3 linked regions of the Tamandua tetradactyla genome follow. The protein of the gene in region 2 purifies or fractionates together with the protein of the main gene of each other region. This does not show direct contact. Links are inferred from orthologs where the notes say so. Each region holds a gene or a part of one and is shown on either strand. Other genes may lie near its edges. The genes, in order: RHOC, ARHGDIA and EZR.

Evidence for each region.
Region 1: the proteins of ARHGDIA (region 2) and RHOC purify together in Homo sapiens (affinity purification with mass spectrometry; 4 studies listed by BioGRID and IntAct, with this or other methods). This does not show direct contact. The link is inferred for Tamandua tetradactyla from reciprocal best matches to the Homo sapiens genes ARHGDIA and RHOC.
Region 3: the proteins of ARHGDIA (region 2) and EZR purify together in Homo sapiens (co-purification; 3 studies listed by BioGRID and IntAct, with this or other methods). This does not show direct contact. The link is inferred for Tamandua tetradactyla from reciprocal best matches to the Homo sapiens genes ARHGDIA and EZR.

The regions. Positions count from the first base shown.
Region 1 is NC_135337.1:9,332,483-9,340,314, forward strand, and holds the start of RHOC (rho-related GTP-binding protein RhoC), read left to right. Parts: upstream 1-4,740; 5' UTR 4,741-4,798; coding exon 4,799-4,856; intron 4,857-4,949; exon of another isoform or gene 4,950-5,277; intron 5,278-5,319; exon of another isoform or gene 5,320-5,436; intron 5,437-7,832. Other genes in the region: PPM1J (protein phosphatase 1J), read left to right, coding at 53-340, 609-721, 1,032-1,116, 1,696-1,814, 2,019-2,082, 2,240-2,347, 2,487-2,638, 2,787-2,934. UniProt on the Homo sapiens protein: Regulates a signal transduction pathway linking plasma membrane receptors to the assembly of focal adhesions and actin stress fibers.
Region 2 is NC_135332.1:74,062,295-74,069,946, reverse strand, and holds ARHGDIA (rho GDP-dissociation inhibitor 1), read left to right. Parts: upstream 1-4,614; 5' UTR 4,615-4,721; intron 4,722-5,324; 5' UTR 5,325-5,393; intron 5,394-6,228; 5' UTR 6,229-6,255; coding exon 6,256-6,445; intron 6,446-6,553; coding exon 6,554-6,637; intron 6,638-6,866; coding exon 6,867-6,943; intron 6,944-7,018; coding exon 7,019-7,082; exon of another isoform or gene 7,083-7,259; coding exon 7,260-7,459; 3' UTR 7,460-7,587; downstream 7,588-7,652. UniProt on the Homo sapiens protein: Controls Rho proteins homeostasis. Regulates the GDP/GTP exchange reaction of the Rho proteins by inhibiting the dissociation of GDP from them, and the subsequent binding of GTP to them.
Region 3 is NC_135328.1:151,859,532-151,867,289, forward strand, and holds the start of EZR (ezrin), read right to left. Parts: upstream 3,077-7,758; 5' UTR 2,965-3,076; exon of another isoform or gene 2,880-2,964; intron 2,466-2,879; exon of another isoform or gene 2,182-2,465; intron 2,041-2,181; 5' UTR 1,965-2,040; coding exon 1,953-1,964; intron 1-1,952. UniProt on the Homo sapiens protein: Probably involved in connections of major cytoskeletal structures to the plasma membrane. In epithelial cells, required for the formation of microvilli and membrane ruffles on the apical pole. Along with PLEKHG6, required for normal macropinocytosis.

The sequences.
Region 1 (7,832 bases), on a different chromosome or scaffold from region 2:
CCCCTACATGCACATGTGTGTGTGCACTCACCTCCAACTCTTCTTCCACTAGGGACTCTGCTTCTACTACTGGGGCCTGTTTGATGGGCATGCAGGGGGTGGAGCTGCTGAGGTAGCCTCGCGCCTCCTGCATCGCCACATCCGGGAGCAGCTAAGGGACCTGGTAGAGATCCTTCAGGACCCCACGCCACCCCCACTCTGCCTCCCTTCCACTCCAGGAGCCCCAGGCTCCTGTGATCCCTCTCATGTGGTTGGTCCTCAGTCCTGCTGGCCTTCACAGAAGGAAGTGACCCATGAAAGCCTGGTGGTGGGGGCCATTGAGAATGCCTTCCAGCTCATGGTGAGTGGATGACATAAGCCAGCGGTCCATGAAGAAGCTGCTCTAGTTAATGTGGGAATCTGGTGGCCTGGGGGTGGGGTGACCCTGAAAATCCTTGAGAGGTGGAGCAGAGCTCGCTTCAGAGGGGAGGGAAAGGAAGAATGATACCCATATCTTTCCTCTCCAGTGTGGCTTGGCTGGACCAGTTTATTTCTTGCAGATGGAAGGGGTGGCTGTGCGCCTGGAACCTTTTCTTTGTTTACTCCTCTGACTCTTCCTTGTGTGGCAGGATGAGCAGATGGCCCAGGAGCGGCATGGCCACCAAGTGGAGGGGGGCTGCTGTGCACTGGTTGTGATCTACCTGTTAGGCAAGGTGTATGTGGCCAATGCAGGCGACAGCAGGTATGGGGGGGGGGCTACTCTTGAAAGTGGCTTCAGGGGGCCACACTCTGAGGCAGCAGGGGTTAAATAAAAAATCAAAGGTTGAAGGGAGTCAGGAGGGATCATAGACACAAGGAAAGGCCTGAAATAGCAATGGGGGAAGGAAGTAAGGGGGTTTGGGTGAGGCACCCTAAGGGTCATTTGGGGGAAGGCCTGGTCTTTCTAGAATTCTCCATGTGGGGGCTCAGGAGAGCCAGGTTCAAACTTTCCCACAGCTCATAAGTTCAGGTAGTAGCCATACCTCACATGGGCCTTTCCTCTAACTGGGCAGGGCCATCATTGTCCGGAATGGTGAAATCATTCCAATGTCCCGGGAATTTACCCCGGAGACCGAGCGCCAGCGTCTTCAGCTGCTTGTAAGTAGGAACCAAACTCCCCACCCTTATTCTTTGTTGGGTTTTGTGCCTCTCTGCACCTTATGTCCCTGAGAATTCTCACATCTCACCATATAGACAGAAAGCTCCTTACTGTTTAATGGGAAGACCACTCTGTGGACTGTGGAATGCAGGGTTGAGCTGGGGGATAATGCAGCAGGAAAGAGCTCCCACTGTGGCCCCAGCTGTGGAAGGAAGGAGAGTGTGAGGTGGGGGAAGGAAATAGCGAAGGCCCCAGACTTAATGCTTAGAGAGCATGGCTTAGTGCTTGAAAGTCTGGGCCCTGGAGCTGGACTGCTTGGTAGTAAATCCTGGGCAAGTGTATTGCTAGTTTTAAGGCCTTGGACAATTCCCTTCGCCCCTCTGTGCATTGATGGTTCCTGTTTTAAAGGTTATTGCAGGATAAATGGGTTCAATCTAGGTTAATAGTAGAGCAGTACCTGGCATATAGTAAACTCTATTTAAAGGTTTGCTATTATTCATACCATCTATATACCAGCATGTACTGTTAACCCTGATGCCCCCTGGTCCTCTGCTCTGTCTGTCCACTCTCAACCCCAGGGCTTTCTGAAACCAGAGCTGCTGGGCAATGAATTTACCCACCTTGAGTTCCCCCGCAGAGTGCAGCCGAAGGAGCTGGGGCAGAGAATGCTGTACCGGGACCACAACATGACCGGCTGGTAACACTTCCCTTAGAGCTGGGGCCCGTTCCCATGGCAACGCAAGCAGTCCCTGGCCAGCAGCAAGGTGGAAGCTGGTGGCTGGGCCAGGCTGGAAGTTGGGGGGATGAGGCCCTCCTAAGGGGTCTGCTTGAGGGTGTGCAGCAGTTAGGGGAGAGGGGCTTTGATACCTGGGTGATGCCTCCTCTACTCCTCCCTCCCCAGGGCCTACAAAAAGATCGAGCTGGAGGATCTCAGGTTTCCTCTGGTCTGTGGGGAGGGCAAAAAGGTAAACTCCTGTGGTAGAGGTGGGAGAAGGCAGCAGGACCCACCACAATTTATCTAGGGATGTGGGGGTTTTCCCTGAGGGTAAGGGTGGAAGGGGGCTGTGGTTTCAGAGGGTCCAGGAGAGGACTACAGCAGCACCTCCTCCTCATTCCCTTCAGGCTCGAGTAATGGCCACCATTGGGGTGACCCGGGGCTTAGGAGACCACAGTCTCAAGGTCTGCAGTTCCAGTCTGCCCATCAAGCCCTTCCTCTCCTGCTTCCCTGAGGTGAGCCGTGTGGGGCCCCTGGCCACATCTTTGCTCCTCTGGGTGCCTTGGGTTGGCTTTCTTCAGGGCTCTCTTTAATCCCCAACCTCCCGGTCCACCAAACCCTGCACCTCGTCCTTTCTACCGTCTTCCCCTCTAGGTGCGAGTGTATGACCTGACACAGTATGAGCACTGCCCGGATGATGTGTTGGTCCTGGGGACAGATGGGCTGTGGGACGTCACCAGTGATTGTGAGGTAGCCGCCACTGTGGACATGGTGCTGTCAGCCTATGAGCCCAATGACCCCAACAGGTAGGGGCAGCATGGCATGGTGGTGGAGGGATGGCACTGGGGAAGGAAGGTGGGCAGAGAGAAGCAATGCTTGGGGACCCATATATGGGCTTCAGTATCATTCCCAGATAACATATTGATACTTAAAGTGCACATGTGCTTCTGGCAGGTACACAGCTCTGGCCCAAGCTCTGGTCCTGGGGGCTCGGGGCACCCCCCGGGATCGTGGCTGGCGTCTCCCCAACAACAAGCTGGGTTCCGGGGATGACATCTCGGTTTTTGTCATCCCCCTGGGAGGGCCAGGCAGTTACTCCTGAGAGAGACAGCCCCATCTCTCCCACTACCACCTCAGCCTCTCCTTGCCCACCCCTCTCCCAGCCCAAATGCTGAAGCTGTCCACTTGATTCTTCTTTAGAGGCAGTTTACTTGAAGATGGGGGTGTTACCTAGATCCAAAATTACTGCAATTGGTAAATAAATCCGATGGATAAAGTTGTGTGTCTTTATTTACTTTGCCTAGAAGCTGAAAGGAAGGAAAAGTTCTGTGGGGTAGTGGAAAGAACACCAGAACGGTTCCAAAATGTGTTCCCCCCCTCTTCTCTTCCTACTCCACACCCCCTCTGTGAGCATTCTCATCCACTCCTGTGGCTTCACTCATCTGCTGGTATCTTCCAAATCAGTATTTCCAGCCCAGGCCTTTCCTGTGCTTTAGACTTACACAACCCAAGTGTCTTTTGAACAACTCCTATATCCCACAGGTACTTCAGCTCAACATACCTCATCCTGAATTCATCATTCCCTCCCATATCAATATACCTCATACTGACTTCATCATTCCCTCCCATAAACATCTTTTCTCTCCTGGTTTTTCCTCTTAGTGGGCACCAGCTCAGTTGTCCACATTAGAAGTCTTAGGGTTGATCCCCCTTGGCTTCCATTTCTTCTGTATCAAACTGATCAATCACTAAGCCTTGCTGGTTATATGTTTTTAAATAGCACACCTTAGTTCTTTATTTTATCAGCCTCCTAACTCATCTCTGTCTCCAGGCCTCCTCTTAATAACCTGCAGACATAGCAACCAGAGTGACTTTTCCACAGTGAGAACCTAGGTTGGTTATTCCTCTGTGAGAACATTTCATGAGATCCTTTTTGCCTCAGGACAAAATACACACTCAACTGAGTGTGGCATATAAGGACTTTCATTACCTGCCCATTGCTTCCTTCTCCAGCCTCATCTTTCACCACCACCATCCTCAAATCCCACCCTCCTGGAGTTCCTCCTATTCATTATTTAAAATCTACACATCACCATATCTTGGACACTTCAGGTCTGGGGATCCCACAGCCCATGCATGCCCCATGACAGCCACTACCTCACTGTATTCTAACTGTCTCTATCAGGAGTCAGGAGGGCGTACAGCAGGGGCTCTAGAGTCCAGCTGTATGGATTCTGCTGCAAGACCCAAAATGAGCTCTGAAACCTCTCTGAGCCTCAATTTGCTCAGTAAAATGGAGAAATTAATGGTACTACCTCATAAGGTTGTTGGGAAGATTAAAGTAACTAATGTGTATAGAGCCACATAATTAATAGAGTTCAATAAATGTTAGCTATCTTTAAGTTGTCTGTATCCTGCATTTAGACTGTAAGCAGGCAGAAATCGATCCTCGGTGCATAACTCATAGTTCACACTCAATAAACGTTTATTGAGTGAGTTAATAGGTCCAGGTAGAGGGCTGCTCCGGATCTCCGTTTCCTCAGTTATCAAATGCGTGGCTTGCGTTTCAGATCTTTAAACTCTCTGTTATTTCGAACATTCATCCATTCAGCAAATATCTGTTGAAAATCTATTACGTGCCACATATGGTGCTAGAAAGTGAGGAAAGGACAGGTTAGAGGAGCATAGCCAGGAGAAAGCACCAGTTTTGGAGCCAGAAAAACCTGGGCTCGAATTCCTGCCCCTTCTCTGAGCCTCAGTTTCCTCTCTGGCAAAAGAGATCGCGGAGGACCTGTGGTGAGGGTTGAGCGTTACAGCGTGCGCGTGTACCCAGCGGGCGCCAGGATACTGCAGACTTCCTCGTCCCCCATCTCGGTCCTCAGGGAAGGAGATCACAGGTGTACGCACCGACCCGGTGCGACAAGTTAGACTGGGCTAACTGCCCCTGGAGGCACACAAATGATACAATGGGAGTGAGAACTATAGTCCCAGCTGGGGATCCGGAAGGATTTCCAGGAGAGGGAGGTAGGAATTAGACATTTGGAAACCGCGGTTTGGGCCTGTAAGGTTCAGAAAGGTCTTCAAGGCTTGGGGGATGGCGCGGGGCAGGGTACTCACCAGGCAGTGGGGCTGCAGGGGGTGGGCGTCTTCCGCCCGGCCCGGGTTTCCAGCCTCGCCTCCCGCCAGGTCCCAGGTCGGGCCGGAGCGGACGGCTGCTCGGCCACCGGAGGGCAGCAGCGGCCCTTCCTGACCCCACCCCGAGCGCCTCTCAACTTTCCCGACGCCCGCCCGCGCCCAAGGGCTGGAAGGCGGGGCCGAGGCTGAGCTCTCGGGGGGCCTGCCCGCCCCTCCCCCCCCGCAGTCACGGTTGCTCCCCACTACTTTCGTCCCATCCCGGGACAGACGCCGCAGGTCCCAGGCCGCGGGGGCCCAGGGCGGGCGGAGCTAGGGGCCGCCCCCGGGCCGACCCTCCCCTTGCCGGGCCCGCCCTTCCCGGCCGGCCCGCCCCTCGCCGCCGCGGCGCTGAAGGAGGGCGAGGCGGGGCCCCTCGGGTCAGTCTCAGCCTCCCGCACCGGCCACGCAGCTGGAGGCGCCCGAGCGGAAGGTAGGCTGGGCCAGGGGCCAGGGGCTGGGGACGCGGGGGTCCTGCGCGCCGGGGCCCGGGAGAATACTTTCCGTCCCTCTCTGCGCCCGCCCGGGGAGGCGGCTTTGGACCGAGCGCGGGCCGCGTTCCCTCCCCTCGGACACGGCGTCCGGGGCTGTGCGGGGGCCGGGCCCGGTCGGCTTCTCCCGCGGTTGCAGCGAGGCGTCTCCGGGAGCTGCCGGCCAGGGCGTCTCACCTCCCAGTGTCCGAGCCCGAGCTTCTTTCCTTCCTCTCCCGGCTTCCCGGAACCTGCCTCCGCCGGGCGAGGGGGCGACTTGGGGCGCCGCGAGGAGCCTCCGCCAGGCGCCGCAGCTCCCAGGCCCGGCGGCTCGCTTTGGACCCGGGGGAGGAGGGGGGGAGGGGGAGGAGGGGGGAAGTGGGGGAGGTGGGTCCGAGTCCGACCGGGGGTGGGAATCCCCCCTCGCGGACCCCGCGAGTGGCGGGAATAGGGGCGGGGTGTGGCTGGTGGGGGCTGCCCGGCCGGGCTGGGTCTGGACCCCGCCCTAGATGATTCTGGAGCTTGTCTAGGGTGGGTGTTGGAGAGGCGCAAGGGAAAGACCCAGACACCTTCTTGTGGGGTAAAAGAATCTCCTTCCTTCCACTTCTAAGCTGGGCCAGAGATAACGTAGGGGATTCCGGCTGAGTCCTGCTCTCGCCTCTGGTTTTAAAGTTGAGGAGGAGAGCTCTCCTGCGAAGGATTGAGGGGCGGGTGGGTCCGGTCACAGTGTCTTGTCTCAGGGAAGGCCCCCGAAGTTCCAGGCTCCGTTCTAGCCTGCACGCGGGTTTAGGGGCTCCTGATGGGCTCCGTGGGGCGGATCCTCCGGGCTACCTCTCACAGGGAGCTAGCTGTTGTCCCTGCCATATTGGCCCTGGGCCTGGTGGCCTGGCCTGGCTGGGCCCCGGCTGCTCTCCTGCCCAACTAGAGCTCAAAGGGAGAGGCTTCTGATGGAGGCAGGGGCTTCGGATTACTGGGTGCTGCCCCCTGCCTTGGCGTTCTGGACTCTGCCTCCCGCAAGCGCTGCGACCTAAACTGCCCTACCAGAGCAGGGCGTACTCGGGTGACTGGCATTTGCCCCAGTGGTGATTTTTCTCCTAAACATCGCTCTCCCCAGATTGGGATTACGGCAGTCTGTCTTCACACAGCTGGACCAGTTGAGCAAATGAGAGTGGATGGGGAAGTTGGACAAAATCCTGATGTCAGTCACCTGAACGGGGTTATCAGGGAACCCCCCTTTTTGCAGGATGGTTTTCATTTTTGCAGGGGGGGGCTCTGCTGGCAGAGTGAATGCCTTCTTGCCTGCCTTTCGGGATACTCTGGGAGACTTTTGTGGCTGTGTGCTCTCAACTCCTATAAATTCTCTCTGACTCATTTCCACTTCCCCTCATCTCATTTTTGTGAATGTGTGGAGGGGAGGGAGGAGCCCAAGTCCCCATCGTTGAGAAGAACTAGCCTTGGGCTGGAGGATTCGCTTCCAAGAAGGCAGAGCTGTGAGGTGGTATGTGGGGAGCAAAGGAGTTCAGCCCAGTTTTGACAGGATGTGGGACTGAGAGAGAAAAAGCCTGGTTTGGGGCTGAGATCGGGTTACCATCCCCTTGTTTCTTAAACAATCCCTGCCTGATTGGTGCTGGGATTGGCCCTCATTTGTCTCTTCTTTTGGGGCTCCTCCCAGCCCGGGCTCTTTTTTCCACCCCTTTTCCAGCAACCTTGACTTCTTCTCAGCTTCAGAGCCCGCCCTCTCTTCCTCCCCTGCTGCTGTAGGCCTGAGAACCTCAGCTGGCTGGAGGTCTGCACCTCCCCAGGGAAGGAGGAAGTGAGGCTCAGTTCAGGGGCGAGGAGCTGGGAAGGTGTGATGAGCTGTGCAGATGCACAGCCCTGTGTGTTAGGGGTGGGGGCACATGGAAACCCCGGAAGCTGACTTCTTACCCTGAGTCACAGGGAGGGGTGGGCAGGGCCTTTGAGTTCTCTGGACAGTGGGGAGGAGGGGGCTGTTCCAGGGAGTGGGTGGAGGTGATTCCCTAGTGGATTATTTTCAGTCGCTCTGCTGTGGCTCTGTGTGGCTCCCTACAGTGTGGTCATTGTCCCCTGCCTGGGGCTGAGTGACCCAGTGTTGCTGCCAGGCCCAGGAGGAAGGGGGGAGGAAGGCAGGCTGCCCGAATGTGGGCTGTGGGCACTGCCAGGACTGAGCCTTCTTTGTGTGACTTGGAGCTTTGGGGACCGAGGGTGGGTTGGGCTAGGGAAGCCGGCTGGCTGCTGCCACTGTCCTCTGTCTGGATTTCCCTGCATCTACTCTTCTTCCCACCTCTAGGGTGACGTATAGAAAAGTCACACACTCTGACATTACACAGCCCTGCTTTGA
Region 2 (7,652 bases):
GTCGTGATAGGAGATTCATTAAAAATAATTCCAGCTGAGATATTCAGAAGTAGATAAAACATTACTCATTTAGTGATCCGTAATAAAATAAGCAAGTGCAAAATGGTCATTGGTGTTTGCTGGGGCTGCTGACCAGAAGTTTGGTGAGGGCACCTGGAAATGGGCAGCCTGGGGTCATGGCACCCACTGCCTCTCACTGCAGCTGACAAGCAGGCAAGTTCTGCAGGGAGCCTCGGCATCAGTGCAGGGAACTGGACCAGCCTAGGGGGACGGGAAAGCCTGCCATGCCAGTTTGAAGTATTATGTACCCCAGAAAAGCCGTGTTTTAACCTTGATCCAATCTTGTGGGTTTCTTTTAATCCGGGGTCAATATTGTAGGGCGGAAACTTTTGATTAGAATACTTCCACCGAGATGTGACACGCCCCATTGTGGGTGTGACCTTTTGATTAGATGGAGATGTGAATCATCCATTTCAGATGGGTCTTAATTAGTTTACTTCGGTCCTTTAAAGAGGAAACAATTTTGGAGAGGGCTCAGAACAGAGACATGGATGTTTGGAGATGCTTGGAGCCCAGCAGATGTCACCATATGCTTTCCCATGAGATGTTAAGTGAGCCAGAACCTGGAGAGAGCCAAGGGAAACCAAGAGATGAAAGCCAGCCCAGGAGAAGCAAAGCGATGAAGTGCCCACAGGAACAAAGACCTAAAGCAAAGGAGCCTAGGGGCACAGGAGCAGCAGATGCCAGCCACGTGACTTGGCAGCTGACAGAACTGCTCCAGACCCACTGGCTTTTCTTAAATTAAGGTCTCTTTCCCTGGATGCCTTAGTTTGGACATTTCTATGGTGTTAGAACTTTAAGCTTGTAATATAATAAATTCCCTCTTTAAAAGCCATCCATTTCTGGTATATTGCATTCCGGCAGCTTAACAAACTAAAACATGGGCCCAACCACACCTGGCTTCTTCCACGCCCAAAAGACACAAGCACCAAAAAGGAGATGAGAGGCACGTTATCCAAGTGCAAAGTGTGGGGAATAAACCAATCGGGAAAAAGGCTGGGGGCTCGGGTAAAATTGAGTGTGTGGATGTCATGGTCAGGTTCATGTGTCAACTCGGCCAAATGATGGTTGGGCAAGCGCTGGCTTGTCTGTTGCAATGAGGACACTTCAAAGAATTAAATCATGAGCATGTCAGCTGCCTCCACAGCTGATTCCATTTGTAATCAGCCAAAGGGGCGTGTCTTCTGCAATAAGTGATGCTTAATCTAATCACTGAAAGCCTTATAAGGAGGATTCAGAAGAAACAGGCTTCCAGTTTCAGCTGGCGAGCCTCTCCTGTGAAGTTCGTCCAGACCCTCAGAATCGTCGCCTTCACAGCCTACTCTGCGGATTTGGACTCTGCGTTCCCACGGTCACATGAGACACTTTTATAAATTTTATATTTGCGAGTGTTCCCTGTTGATTCTGTTTCTCTAGAGAACCCTAACTAATACAGTGGATTACCTGATAATATTAAAGCTTTTTTTTTTTTTTTAACTTTTATTGTGGGAACATTTACAATGTATGTAACATTTCCCACTTTAAGCCCTTTGAATTCTACAATTCGGTGTATTGATGGCATTCATGGTGTGAGCTCCCATCTCCACTGTCCCCACCCTGTAAGGGATAGTGAGGAAATCAGAAGTCCAGTGGCTGCACAGTGACCTGTTCCCCAGCATGGCCCCGGGTATCAGATCCCCTGCTATACAAAGCAGCACCGACCATCCTTGTAACTAAACCTTTGCACACAACTGTGATTTGTTTGGACTTTTATTTTGATCTTTATGGTGACATAACAAAGTTATGAGCATGACATAACTTTGAAGGGCCCACTTCAGTGGCCCCTCACCACCATCCATCAGCGGCATTTGCCCAACACTGCAAAACCATCCAGCACTTTCCTCCAGATGGATTCCATATGACCTGCTGGGCAGGTCAGCCTGGCAGCACCTGCATCCTGCATGCTCACAGCACTTGGAACTTTTTTTTTTTTAATACCAATTTGATAGAAGGCTCAAAATAGTGTCACTTGTCCACTGTGATGATGTGAAAGCAAAGCACCACCTCACACCCAGAGGATCTTGGGTCCTGGAGGGCTGGCACAGCCTGCAGGAAGCAGACAAAAGCCATGTGCCTGCACACTGGAGCACGGGCAGGCGCCAAGACACCACAGGACCAGCGATTGTCCTTCCAGCAAGGCCAGGAGACACAGAAAGGACCAGCCTCTTGGTCAGCTCATCTCAATGTTGGCAATTTACCTCTGTTCTCATTCAAACAGGAAGTAACAAACTCCAGGCATTCGAGGAGAGCTGGCTGCAACTACAACATGACGAATTTTTGTGAATTTTCTTGGTGTTCTGGGTACACCTCACAGCTCAGTAGTGTAAACCAGCTGCTGTTTTGTGATGCCAGATTCTGCAGGTGGTGAGGTGAGAGGCCAGGTAGGGGCCTCTGCGCAAGCCAGGGTGTGGGGGTAGGTCCACGCTAGACCACCTGGCTCTTATGTCTCAGGTTTTGGGATTGCGAGAAGCAAGGTCCAATGGCCTCCTGGTTGCCTGGATGTGCTTTGGTGCCAAGTCCCTGGAGCCAGCATGGGATGCAACCTCTGGAGGCCTTGGAAGGAGTGACTACTTTATGCATAAGGGGAATGTGAATAATTTGCAGTTCCATTAAAGGTCACACATCCTTGGCTTCTCTTCCTGATGAGCCCTCCCACCGGGGCTGGCCTGGGCCATGGCTCAGCCTGCAGAGGCGTGGTTCTAGCTCTTCTAAAGTGAAGTTGCAGAAGTCTGATGAACTTTCATTTTGGAGCCCTGCCCTGAAGGAGAGGCCTAACTCCCTTGGGAAGAGGACCTGTCGGGGGGCCCCCAGTGAACAGTGGGAGCTGCCAGCAGGGCACCGAGCTTTCAGACACAGACCTTTGGGTGGCTCCAGCACAGTTCCCATCTGACTGCAATGGGGCGAACAACCCAACAGAGTTGACTTGACCCAGAGAACACGAGAGAATGAGGCATTACTGCTTCAAGCCACCACAGTGGACTGGCTTGTTACGTAGCTGAAGATGTTCCTGAAACAGGTGGAGGACGTGGCTATTGTTTAAAAAAAAAAAAAAAAAGCTTTTTCTTGTAAACTGGCCCTGAAACATCTATGCTTGACGAGAAGTCTGAGATTTGCTTCCAGGTTGCGGTGCATGGGAGGAAGGAGACTGGCTACGAGGAGCAGCTGTGGGAGCTCGGGCCAGGCCCACTGGGTTCGGGACACACTAGTCTTTCTACCTCCGTGGAGGTGGTGGGCAGCTTCTAGGGTGGCCCTGGGGAGCCCACCTCTGGGAGCTGATGTCCTTGCCTCCCGTGTGACCAGGAGGCTGGGGCAGAAGTGATGGCCGGCACTTCCAAACGCAGGGACGAGATCGAGTGCCTGCTTGTTCTCTCTCTGTGGCCTGCAGCCCATAGCCATATGAGTGGCTTGGAAGTGGATCCTCTGGGTTTGGCTCCTCGGAGACCACAGCTTCCAGGGAGACCCTTAGCCAAGGACCCCCCAGCTCAGCTGCTCCAACCTCAAGCCAGATAATAAACGGTGGTTGTAAGATTCTAACTTTCAGGGCAGTTTTTCATCCAGCAATCTGTCACTAATAAAGTGTATTAGGAAATGTTCTATCCTAGAGGTGTGTGTGTGTGTGTGTGTGTGTGTGTGTGCTTGTGTGTGTGCAAGCATTTGGGTTACCAGGCAGCGGACTTCCTCAAGCAACTAATGACTCAAACAGGAGTACCAGCTCCACTGGAACATTCAGCCTCTACGGCAGCAGCGGGGAAACCTCAAAAGCAACTTCACCATCCAAAAGAAAGGAAGCCTTGCTTTTGGCCCGGCTAAACTCCCTGCGCTGCCAACTCTTAGCCCAGAAGATCCCAAGATAGTCCTCAATAATCACAAACGTTCCAAAAGCAACCAAGGTCAGTATCTGTCCAGCACTCTCGCAGAGACTGCTCTCGGGTGCTGAGTTTCCGAGGCGGGACAACACAGGTGTGCGTGTGCTGTGCCGGCGTCTGCCCGAGCCCGGGGAGGGTGGCCTGTCCAGAGCCAGGCCGTGGCCCTGCTACCCGCGGCCGGACAGCCAGCAAAGAACGCTCTGGTCCGTCCTGGGTGCTTGAGGGATGGCCTACTGTAGTACCGTACGCAGGGCGACATCTCCCGTTTCAAGGCACTGTTTGATTGCGATTCTGCCGAGGGCCGAGGTGAGAGCGTGGGGCTTGTACCGGGCGGGTCGGCGGGCGGCAGGGTTCCCGGGGGTCCAGGGGAGGGAGACAGCAGGACGGCCCGCGGCGCTGGCGAAGAGCACGCTAGGCCCAGGGCCTGGGCAGGAGCCGGCCCGCAGCTTCCGGGCCCGGAGGAAAAGGCACAGGCGGCGGTAGGGGGCGGTCCAGCTGCCGGCAACCGAGCGCCCCTCCCACGCGCAACGCCGGCCTACGGCCTTTTGGGGTACCGAGGCCTCCCCGCCGCGCGTACTCGCGGCCCTCAAGATGGCGGCGCGCGCCCCTGCCGCCCGCGCATGCGCCCTCGTCGACCCCGCCCGGCCGGAGCGGAAGTCGCGTGACCCCGGAAGTGACCGCGGGCGCGGGTGGGGCGGCGGCGACGTTCGTCATTCGGTGCGGAGGGAACGCGAGCGCCCGCGATCGAAGCCTCCGGTGGGTGCCCGCCGGCGCGGGGCGCGGGGACGAGGGGGCCCGGGAGTCAGGGGCGGTGCCGCGGGCGGTGGCGGCGGGCGGGGCGGGACCGCCTTTGTTCTCGCCGCCCCCGCGCCCCGCCCCACGGCGGCCGCCCCGGGGTCCAGGCGGGCGCGGGGCGCGCAGGGCCGGCGGGGCTGGGGCTCGCGGGGTGCGGGCAGCCGCCACGTGAGGAAAGGGGGCGGCGAGGCCCTTCTTTGGGCGGCACGTCTGCAGCTCCTAGCTGGGCCGGGCGGGGCCTAGGGCGCGCCCCTCCCCTGGGAACGGAGCGCGCGTGGGCGCCCGGCCGGGGTCGTGGTTCCCCTGTGCTTCTCGCTAGCGATCCCGCGGCCTGGGGCGGTGTCCCGAGCCCCTCTCCTCGGGCCTCCGTGCCCCGCCCGGCCGCGCCCGACCGCGCCCGGTCGGGATTGCTGCGCTCTGCGCGGAAGATCGTGCCCCTGGGGCCGAGGGTGCCCTGCGGCTACGCTGCTCCAGCGGGCGAGCAGGAGGCCTGGGAAGGGCTTGGGCCACCCCCGGCAGGCGGCAGCTCGCGGCCCCATGACACTGAATCCTTAATGTTGGCAGGTCTGCTCCGGGCTTGTCGCCTCCCGAGTGCGCCGAGATCTCGTGGCTCCCACTGACCGGAAGGATCGAGTGAGTGGGTTATAGAGAGAACTGCTGGGTTCCTCAACGGTGGTAGCGGTATCCTAGCAGGGAGTACGCTGCCCCGGACTTCCTGGGTCCTGAGAGGTCTGAGTGGTCCCCGCGGTTTCTCAGGCCTTGGTCACAGACTCTCACAAATGGAGAGGGCCTTGGCAGAAGCCCGGGGCCCCCACTCCCCTGAGACCCCTGCAGGGCTGGAGCTTTGTCTCTGGCTGCGGCTGGGGGAGGGACAGCATCCGTTGCCAGGAAGACCTAGTTCAGTGACCTGTGGGGGTGGGGGTATCACTTGGCATGTGTGAAGCAGCAACAGGGCCAGGGGCTTGGCTGGCGTGGGAGATGATTTAGCTCGAGGCCTACCAGTCGTGGGGTCCGGGGCCCACCTAGAGCCCCCTGTGCTGCACAGGAGGGCTGTGGGGCTGGGAGACCAGCCTGGCCTGGGTCATGTGGTATCCATGGCAGTGGGATGAAGTAGGGTGTGACCTGTGTCCTGCTGTCTCTTGATGCCAGAGGATGCCCATGGAGTCCAGGTGTCACGAATTGGGGTGGGCTCTGGACCACCCAGCAGAGCTGCCTGAGACAAGCAGGGCAAGGGGGTGCCCCCGTGTCTCAGGCTGTTCCTCTGGTGACTGGAAAGCTCAGCTGCAGAGGGAGGCCCCCTCGGGGCCCTGTGTGGCGAGGCCAGCTCTGCCGATGGCCCTCTTCAGCACAGTGCTAGCCGAGCTGGCAGCCTGGCCTGCAGCAAGGGCTGGAGGTGGCCCCAGTTTGACAGACTAGCAAACAGCTATATCAGAAGTCCAGGCTGCCACAGCCCAGTACTGTGCCCCAGGTGTCCCCGACCCGGCTCGTGGTGAGCATGGCCGAGCAGGAGCCCACGGCCGAGCAGCTGGCACAGATTGCAGCCGAGAATGAGGAGGATGAGCACTCGGTCAACTACAAACCCCCCGCGCAGAAGAGCATCCAGGAGATCCAGGAGCTGGATAAGGATGATGAGAGCCTCCGCAAGTACAAGGAGGCCCTCCTAGGCCGCGTGGCCGTGTCTGCTGGTGAGGCCCCTGCGGCCCCCTCCAGGGACACCTGTCACCCCATATTCCCACACTGCACCCCACCTCTGTGCAGAGGGGTGGAGTTCTGACTACCTGTCTTTCTCCTAGACCCCAACGTCCCCAACGTTGTCGTGACCCGCCTGACCCTGGTGTGCGGCACTGCCCCGGGCCCCCTGGAGCTTGACCTGACAGGTGAGGGTGCTGCCTGCTGCCGTGCTGCTATCCCTAGGGCCTGCTGCCCCCTGCTGGGAAGCTGAGCAGGTGCAGCCCGGCGGGCTGAGCCTTGGCTTTGTGAGCCAGGATACTGCCGGTTGCAGGGGGCCCTGCATGGGCCGGGTGGTGGTGGGTCCCAGGTCTAACAGGCAGCGGGGAGCTATCCTGCTCTGAACTTTTTGCTGATGCGTGTTCTCCTTTTGTCTAGGTGACCTGGAGAGTTTCAAGAAAGCGTCTTTTGTGCTTAAGGAGGGGGTGGAATACCAAATAAAAATTTCTTTCCAGGTAAGGCAGGGGCCGGGGGACCTCAGGGGGTGAGGCCTGGAGAAGCCCCCTGACCCTCTACCGGCATCCTTGCAGGTGAACAGGGAGATTGTGTCCGGCATGAAATACATCCAGTACACGTACAGGAAAGGGGTCAAGAGTGAGTGTGGGCAGTGGGCCCCGGCTGCCTGGGAGGTGATTGGCCCTGCAGGGAGTGGGTACAGGTGCCTGACGGCTCTGGGACCCGCAGGAGTGAGAGGCAGGGCTGTGCGTGTGTGTCCCTGTGGATGTGCCTTCCCGTCCCCATGCTCACTGCTGTCCTCCCCCTCGGCCACAGTTGACAAGACTGACTACATGGTGGGCAGCTACGGGCCCCGGGCAGAGGAGTACGAGTTCCTGACGCCTATGGAGGAGGCACCGAAGGGCATGCTGGCCCGGGGCAGCTACAACATCAAGTCGCGCTTCACAGACGACGACAAGACTGACCACCTGTCCTGGGAGTGGAACCTCACCATCAAAAAGGAATGGAAGGACTGAGGCCAGGCCTGGGAGGCGGCAGGGACGGACAGACATACCCCATCCCTCTCTATCCTCCCTGTCCCCATCCCCAGACCAAAGTGCTGACAGGGCCACCCCTTTGCCGCCTGCCCTTGCCCCATCTGCCTCCCGGCCGAGCTCTCCCAACCCTCCCTGCACCCCTCCCCAGCCCGCAGGCCCTCCCCCCCACCTC
Region 3 (7,758 bases), on a different chromosome or scaffold from region 2:
CCACCTAACAAAATTCTTAGTTTGGGCTGAAATAGACATGATAACCTTTCAATTAAAGGATACATCTAAAGAACATGTTGGTGATGTTTGAGATTTTACATTTGCTGAGGAAGGCAAGAGAAAAAAAGCATTAGATTCTCTAAAACAGTCTTAGTGGTCCCTTGAAGGCTACTCAACTCTTCTCAGTGGTCTGTGGGGTGGGCCTAACACAAAGTCACACAAAGAAAATCCCCAGAATGTTTATCTTACCAAGGCTCTCCCAGAAGAAAAACGGGCAGATAGGAACTTCCTACAGCAAACAGGTGTGGTTCATCTAAAAGTAGACCTCAAGAACGTCTGACAAGCATAAATTTAGATATTATACAAAATTACAGAATTTCTAGTTATTGGAACACTGATATACAAGGTAACAACTACTATCCTTCCTGAACAGTGCAAACACTATCTTCACATTGTAAGAACATTGTCCAAGTTTCTGATCCATCATAAAAGATCTTTAGGAATATGAAATCAAAACACACCTGCAACCAAAAAAATAAATGGCAGTTCATTCTGAAAATTTTTAAAAATAGGAATAAGAAACAGATTTGCTGTTTTCTAAGTGCCATTTTAAATAAAGCTAAGCTCTGCATCTTTTCTTTTAGTGAAATAAAGAAAATCACACTGGAAGTGGCACCTCTTGACTACTCTTCTGCATAAAGTGTTAACTGAGCTATGTCTGATTAGAGAAGTCAGTTTTACAACATTGGCATTATAAAGCCCAGATTTCACGTGTCACTTGTAAATTTGAAAAGAAAAGAATTATTTTGTATAGGAAAAAGATGTTCTGGATCCCAAATGAATCACCTTGAAGATAGAACAAGTAAAAATAATATTTACTTCTGTATCTATTAACATATCATTATAGTAATTTAATTTACTCTTAACGGTAAAATAAGACTTAATCAAGAACTCCTTTTACAGACTCTACAGTTTAATGGGAAGGAATAAAACCGACATTTAACCAGTTGTTGATTATAAAACCAACCTATTGCAATTCTGAGGGAACCCAGCCACATTTGTGATTCAAAATTCAATTTAAAATTTTAAGCCATCTCCCCAATGTCTAGTCGCCAGTTCACCTGTGTTAAAGCCAGGAGCATACACACAAGTTTCTAAGAAATGTCATTTGCAGTAAACCAGATTTATTCCCACAACTCAAAGGCTGTAACCCTCCAGGCCTGGCCAGCAATCTAACCCAGTACTAAACAATCAGATTCAAGGTGACAGGGGTGAAGGGCACAGGAGAACTTTAATCAGGTATTGTTTACCAGGAATGCATGACCTGCAAGAGTCTAAGGAACCTCCTTATCAAGCTCCACTGGCTACCTTCATCTGCAATTCAAGTCCATTACCTCTTCTAGAGATAGGAATTCTGCTGCTACCAGCAAATTCCCTGGTTAACAGTACGGGTTTCACAGGCCTGCTGTAAAATGAACCATAAGCTGACAGCCAGAAAAACAGCATCTCCTGGGCTAAAGGAAGAAGTCGGTTACATTTGGTTTCCACACTTAAATCCAAGTCGGTGCATGTCCTCTTGAAGCCACTTAGCGTCTTCCTACCATGTAGACAACTTTTCTTTTTAAGAAGTTGCAACAGAATACGCTTTTAGAACACACTATAAAGCAGTGTAATAGGGGCTTCTATTTGTTTTAAAAAGGACCATAGCTATGGGGACCGAGGGATGTCTCACACACACAAACTGTAGAAAGAAAAGTACCATGATGTTTTCTTGAAGAATTCCACAAGGTACCTAAATGACCAAGAGCAAGGCAATTCCCTATTCCCGTCCTTTCGTTCGTTTAAGAAAGAACCCTGTACTACAACTACTTTCCACAACACTTCATGCAGGTGACCCTGCTTGAAAGTAAAGCTTGAAGTATCCCGCCCGGGTCGGAAACTGGATTGCTTACTGGTTTCGGCATTTTCGGTTCCTGGCGTGTTTTCGTCGATTCTCTAGAAACTCAGCTCCGCGGGAGAGGCCGAAGTGATTCTTCCAACCTGGAGGAAGAGGACAGTCCTGTAAGGCACAGGGCTGCTGGGATCCTCCCGCCGAGGACGGAGACCCCACGCCCGCCCCGCGCGCCGCGGCTTAAGAACCCGCCCGGCGGGCGCCCGGGTGAGTCACCGCCCAACCCACAATTACTGCGGGCCGGGCGGGCCCAGCGCTCGAGGCCGAAAGGCTGGCGGAGGGGGAGCCGGCCGCAGGCGACCTCGGGGCGTGGGCCCGGGCAGGGAGACAGACGTGGGAAGGGAGCATTAGCGACCCCGGGAGGCGGGCGGCGGGGAAGGGGGCGCGGGCCTCAGCGCTCCCGCGAGGAGGTGCGAGCGGTAGGGAGGGGCCCGGAAGACGAGGGTCTCGCCGAAGGGTGGGCAGCGAGGTGCTTCTCTGGGTTTCAAGGAAGCAACGAGTAAACCAGCAAACAGTAAGTTTCACTTTGTGTAGCAACCGTTCGCCCCCGGGCTGAAACCACAACAGTCACATCTTTGAGAAACACTTTTTTAAAATTTTAACTGCCGGGAAGCGGCCAAGGGCCCGCTCGACCCGAGTGCGGCAGGAAGGAAGGGGCGTCCGCGCCGCCCGGGCCCCGCTTCCACTCCCGGGGGGAGGAGAAGGGGGATGTGCAGGGAGAGGGTGGAAGAAAGGCGGGCGTTTCCGCAGCCGGCGGCCACCACCTGCCACGATCTGGGGTCGACCGTGAGCGGTGCCGGGTAAGGGAACTCGAGCGAGGCGGAGGAGAGAGGGGCTGGCTCCTGGCTCCCCAACCCCGGACTCGAGACGGCTGCCCCCCGCCCGTCGGGCCCGGCCGCCCCCGCCACAGCTGTCGTCGACCCCCTACCTCCGGCTCCCTTCTGCCGACGGCACGGCGCCAACCCCGCTAAGCAGCCCCCCGCCGCACCCCGGGGCAGAAGCGTTCGGCTTACCCACGGCGTCTGCCAAGTGGTCTGCTGTGCTGTCGCCGCTGTCTGTGCGTCCGTGGTGTGCCGCCGCCGTCCGCATTCGCCAGTCCCGGGCGAGGCTGGGAGGGGATGTCCCGGCCGCGCCCCCTTCCGCCCCGCCCCTCGGCCGCCCAACGAGTGAGGTGCGCCCCGGTGAGCGCAAGATGGCCGCGGGCGGCGGGCGTCCCTTCCCGCCCGGCCGACCCCTCCGGCCTCGCAGGCGGCCCCCTGTACCCCGGCGGGGCCATCCCAGAGCGGAGGAAACTCGGGCAGGCTATCCCCTGCCCCTCACCCCCCGCCCTGCTTTCTGTTTCTGTTGTTTTAAAGACCTCGGCCTTCCCCGTGGCCCGTTCCCTCGCCCTTGGAGAAAACCTAGGCAGAATTTGGTTTAACTTCTGATAGCAGACGTAAGGTGACAGACGGAAGTCAAGGGAATTAAATCAGTGCGTTGTGGCGGGCAGCCCTGGGAACTTGTGCGGGTTTGGGGTGGGGCCGTCCTCGTGGTCAGGGAATGTTGCAGTCCCAGGAACCGAGCGGCGGGACCTGGCGGGCATGGGCGTCTCTGCGCATTAGGCCACCGGGCCTCCGGTTCCGTTTCCGCTAAGCTACAAGGAGAGGAAACGATCGCGGAATGCAGTGACTAAAGGACCAATTTGTGCCCTCGTTTGACTTGACTAGCAAAAAAAAAAAAAAACTTTATTTCATGCCGTAGGAAGCTTCCTCTGAAATTCTAGGAATTTATCCTTTTTTTTGGCAAATGGTTCTCAAAAGGAATCTTTTTTTAAAACAAAAACTCACGCACATCTGGTGACCAGTGGAATTTGTTGCACAGTGATTATGGGCGCGAGTTCTAGAACTGTGATTCTCAAGAGTGTGGGCCCCAGACTAGCGGCATCAGCACCACCCAGGAACACGAACAAACTGAAATTCTCGGATTTACTCAATGGGAAACTCTTGGGGGTGGGGCCCAGGAGCCTGGGTATTAGCAACACCCTTCCCTCCCCAACCCTCGCCCTTGGTGATTGGGATGAAGGCTGAAGGTTGCCATCCAGATCTTCTCCTGAACTACTTTCCCGGTTGCCCAGCAACTCACTGTCAGAATGGGCAAGTTATTGAACCTCTTTGTGCTTTATAGTCTTTTCACCTGTAAAATGGCATATAACAGTATGCCATATCATAGGGTTGTTAGAGGATTAAATGAGTTGATACATGTAAGATGTTTAGAACTGAGCCTGGCACTGAGAGTAATCCGCGATTTGCACAAAGTATCAAACTAAAACTTGGTAAATATAAAGTGGGGAAAGTAGCACGTCCTACCTAGGATTTCCGATTAACTGAGATACTACAGTCCCCAAAGCGAGTTGTTTTTTTTTTTTAGGTTACCCTAGGTCAGTCCACCCGAGACCTCCCAAATCTAAGCAATTCAAAGACCGGAGGTGAGGAGCACGGCCTTGCCTGAGCTTTTGTCTTCTCTCCTAGCAAATGTCTTCCCTCTGAAAAACTGAATTTATTCCTTCCTCCGTCCCTTCCTTCTTTCCTTCCTTCCTTCCTTCCTTTCTCCCTCCCCTCCTCCCTCCCCTCCTCTTTCCCTTCTTTCTTTCTTTTTTTTTTTTTTACTTAAATAAAGAAGTAATGATCACTGCAGTAGGAAGGAAACCATGAATAATATTTAAATAACCCGAATGATATGTGTCCAAGTGGCTGTGGTATTCACTTCATCACTGCCTGGAGCCATGCTGATTTCCCAACTCTGCAGGTAGAACATGCTTCTACTCTCATTTTTTATCTTACTCAGTTCAAAGTATATGGCTTTCTAAACTGGATGTTTGAAATAGCAGTGGCCCAAGACCTTCTGGAGCATTTCTGAACTTTACTCTTCAGGGAATGCTAAAAAATAACATGGCCTGTGGCAGTGTGGTAAAAACGAGAAAATGGCAGGTGTTGGAAGGAAGCTAAACTGGGTCTGAATTCCCCTTCCAGCACTTAAAAGCTGGTCACTTTGGACAAATCACTTAACCTCATTGAGCTTCTTCCACCTCTTCGTTCAAAAAATGGAAATAATATATATTTCATGGTATTCTATGCCATCAACTCGTAAGCATTTAACTTACTCAAATCTGACTTTAAGAATCCTCTTTCTTTTATAAGTTAAAGTCATATTTTACATATGTATTCCTCATTCTATATATTTCTCTAAGTATTGTACTTATATCCTACTGTACATTTCTTTTTTCTTCACAAAAACATTTGTACTGTATTTTATGGTTGTTTTCAGGGGACTTTCCGAGGGTATTTTATTTTCAGCTGACTTGAGAACCTAAACCCTTCCCCTACCGCTGCCTCCACACCTCCACATACAATATACATACAGAAGATTGAACAACAAGGTGACCTATGGAATTGCTTAGGACAGTGGTTCTCAAGCTTTGGTGTACACTGGAATCTCTCAAGGAGGCCCTACTTTTAGGGATTGTAGGTCAGTAATCCTAAAGTGGATCCTGGGCCTCTGCCCTTAACAAGATCCCCAGGTGATTCTGACTTATACCTAAATTTAAGAAACAACTGACTTAGGATTTGGCAGGATCTTGATAGACGCTATTTACCTTGCCTCTCCCTTCAGCCTTTTTTGGCAACTTATTCTCCTGTATTTTTAAGTCATGGTTTTGTTTAATGTATGATAATAAATGCAGTTGCAGGAAATAAGGAAACACTGGAGCCAGGAATCTTGGATCCTATCCCCTGCTTTCTTTTAGTCTAGTTGACTGACCTTGAATGACTCATTCCTCATTGAAGGGTTTTAGTTTTTCAGTAGGAAGAGGGTAATCATCTGTCTACCTCACCAGCCTGGTTTGTAAATTGGTTGGGGTTTGCGGGGCAAGGTTAACCAAAAGTGAGGTAGACAGTCCTCACAGCAGCTTTAGAAACCGTGCCAAGGACTAGAACTTGTACACAGAACATTCACAGTCCCTTGATACCTAGATAGATTTTATATAAAATCACATCAGGGCCTATTGCTGTTATATCTCCACACTGGTGCCAGGTTAATCTGAATTAATTTTTTAAAATTATGTGAAGTCTCAGCCACTTCAAGAGAACAGTAATAGGGAAATACATTAAAAATATCCTTGGGGTGAGCCCCTGGACCGGAGAAGTCCTGAAATGCAGAGGGGCCAGCCTTTCCAGAACATCTACTGGTTCCATCCCCCTATCCCACATTATCAACAGCCCCTTCCAACGTGAAAGAGTTAGAAGGGCCATAGCCCAAATACCCCTAAAGAGTGAGAGAAAGATCAAAGATGATGGTGGAGTTTATACAGAGAAGGCAGAGTTTAACAAATAAGTATTTTTAATTAGCTGAATTAGTATGTTGATAATTGTTTTAGTCTCTGAAATCTGTTCTACAACTAGTTGTAACAATGTACTTTGAAATTTATTGCTTTCTGTAAGTATGTTATTTTTTCACAAAAAAGAAAGAGCAAAGAATACAATACAGAAGATAGGATTTGACAAATGAATATGACTGCTGAATCAACACTGGTATTTCTTTTGGTCTCCAGTATCTTAGAACAAAAAATGAAAAATCGGAACTATAACTCATACAAACTTTAAAATCTGTTGAATAACTTCTTGGTAAAATGTACTTGGAAATTAAAAACAAAATAAACAACAAAAATAGCCTTATTGGATTTAAGTTGGTTTAATAGCTTGGTTTTATCAATGGTAAATATAAAGCAGTCTTTTGAATATGCTTGTTCCTTTTATGAATTGTTTAAGGCTGAGTCCATTATGTTCAGCATTCCTAAAGGAGAACTCACAGATTTTTTTTCTGATCCTTATTCTTGTTTCCTCCGATATTTCGTTTAGTGGGTTCGAAAGATCTATATCAAATAACCCTAGAGTCTTTTACCCAAACCATGGGGAGGCATAAAGTGCTAAAATGTCCTCAGATAGGAAAGCTGCTTTGTCTGCTAAACCAGTTAAGATTCTTTAGAGGCAAGCAATAGAAACTACCTCTTATTTAGGAAAGAAAAATGGATTTGTTGTGTTACTACTGAGAAACTGAGAGAAATAAAAAGGGAGAATAGTACATTCCAAACTTGAAAGACAGAAAGCAGTACAGCACCAGAGATTTTAGCAGCAATAATTCATGGATTATCTAGAGCATTAATATCAGATAATTAAGTTCCAAGTGTTCAGACATTGTGATTTTTTTCACTGAAGAGTCACGTATCCAGGAGGAAGAATCTGGTCACCAAGTATGGATCATTTGCCCTCCACTATGGTGAGTGAGGCAAGGCCCCATGATTGACAGTTTATGAGAACAAATTAGAACGGGGAAGGGAGTGCTTTCCCAAAGGAGGTGATGTTGGTGAATCAAAATACTATATTAATACTGTATTAGATTTCTGAAAGGATTCATTTGTTCCCTTCCCTCTCTCTACTAGCAATTACATGACTTTGATAAGAGTATTTTTATCTTAATGGTCATAATGTATATCTTCTAAACCAGGTAACAGCAAACAAGTGGCCCATCATTTGCTTTTGTAAATAAAGTTTTGTTGGAACATCAAAAAAAAAAGTATCCTGGGTAAAACACGGATTTTGATTGTTTTCCAGGACTTTATAACCTCGGGTGAAAATTCAGAACAGGGCGGGCCACGGTGGCTCAGCAGGTAAGAATGCTTGCCTGCCAAGCCTGAGGATCTGGGTTCGATTCCCAGTGCCTGCCCATGTTAAAAAAAAAAAGAAAATTCAGAACAGAGGCTATGTCTGGATGAT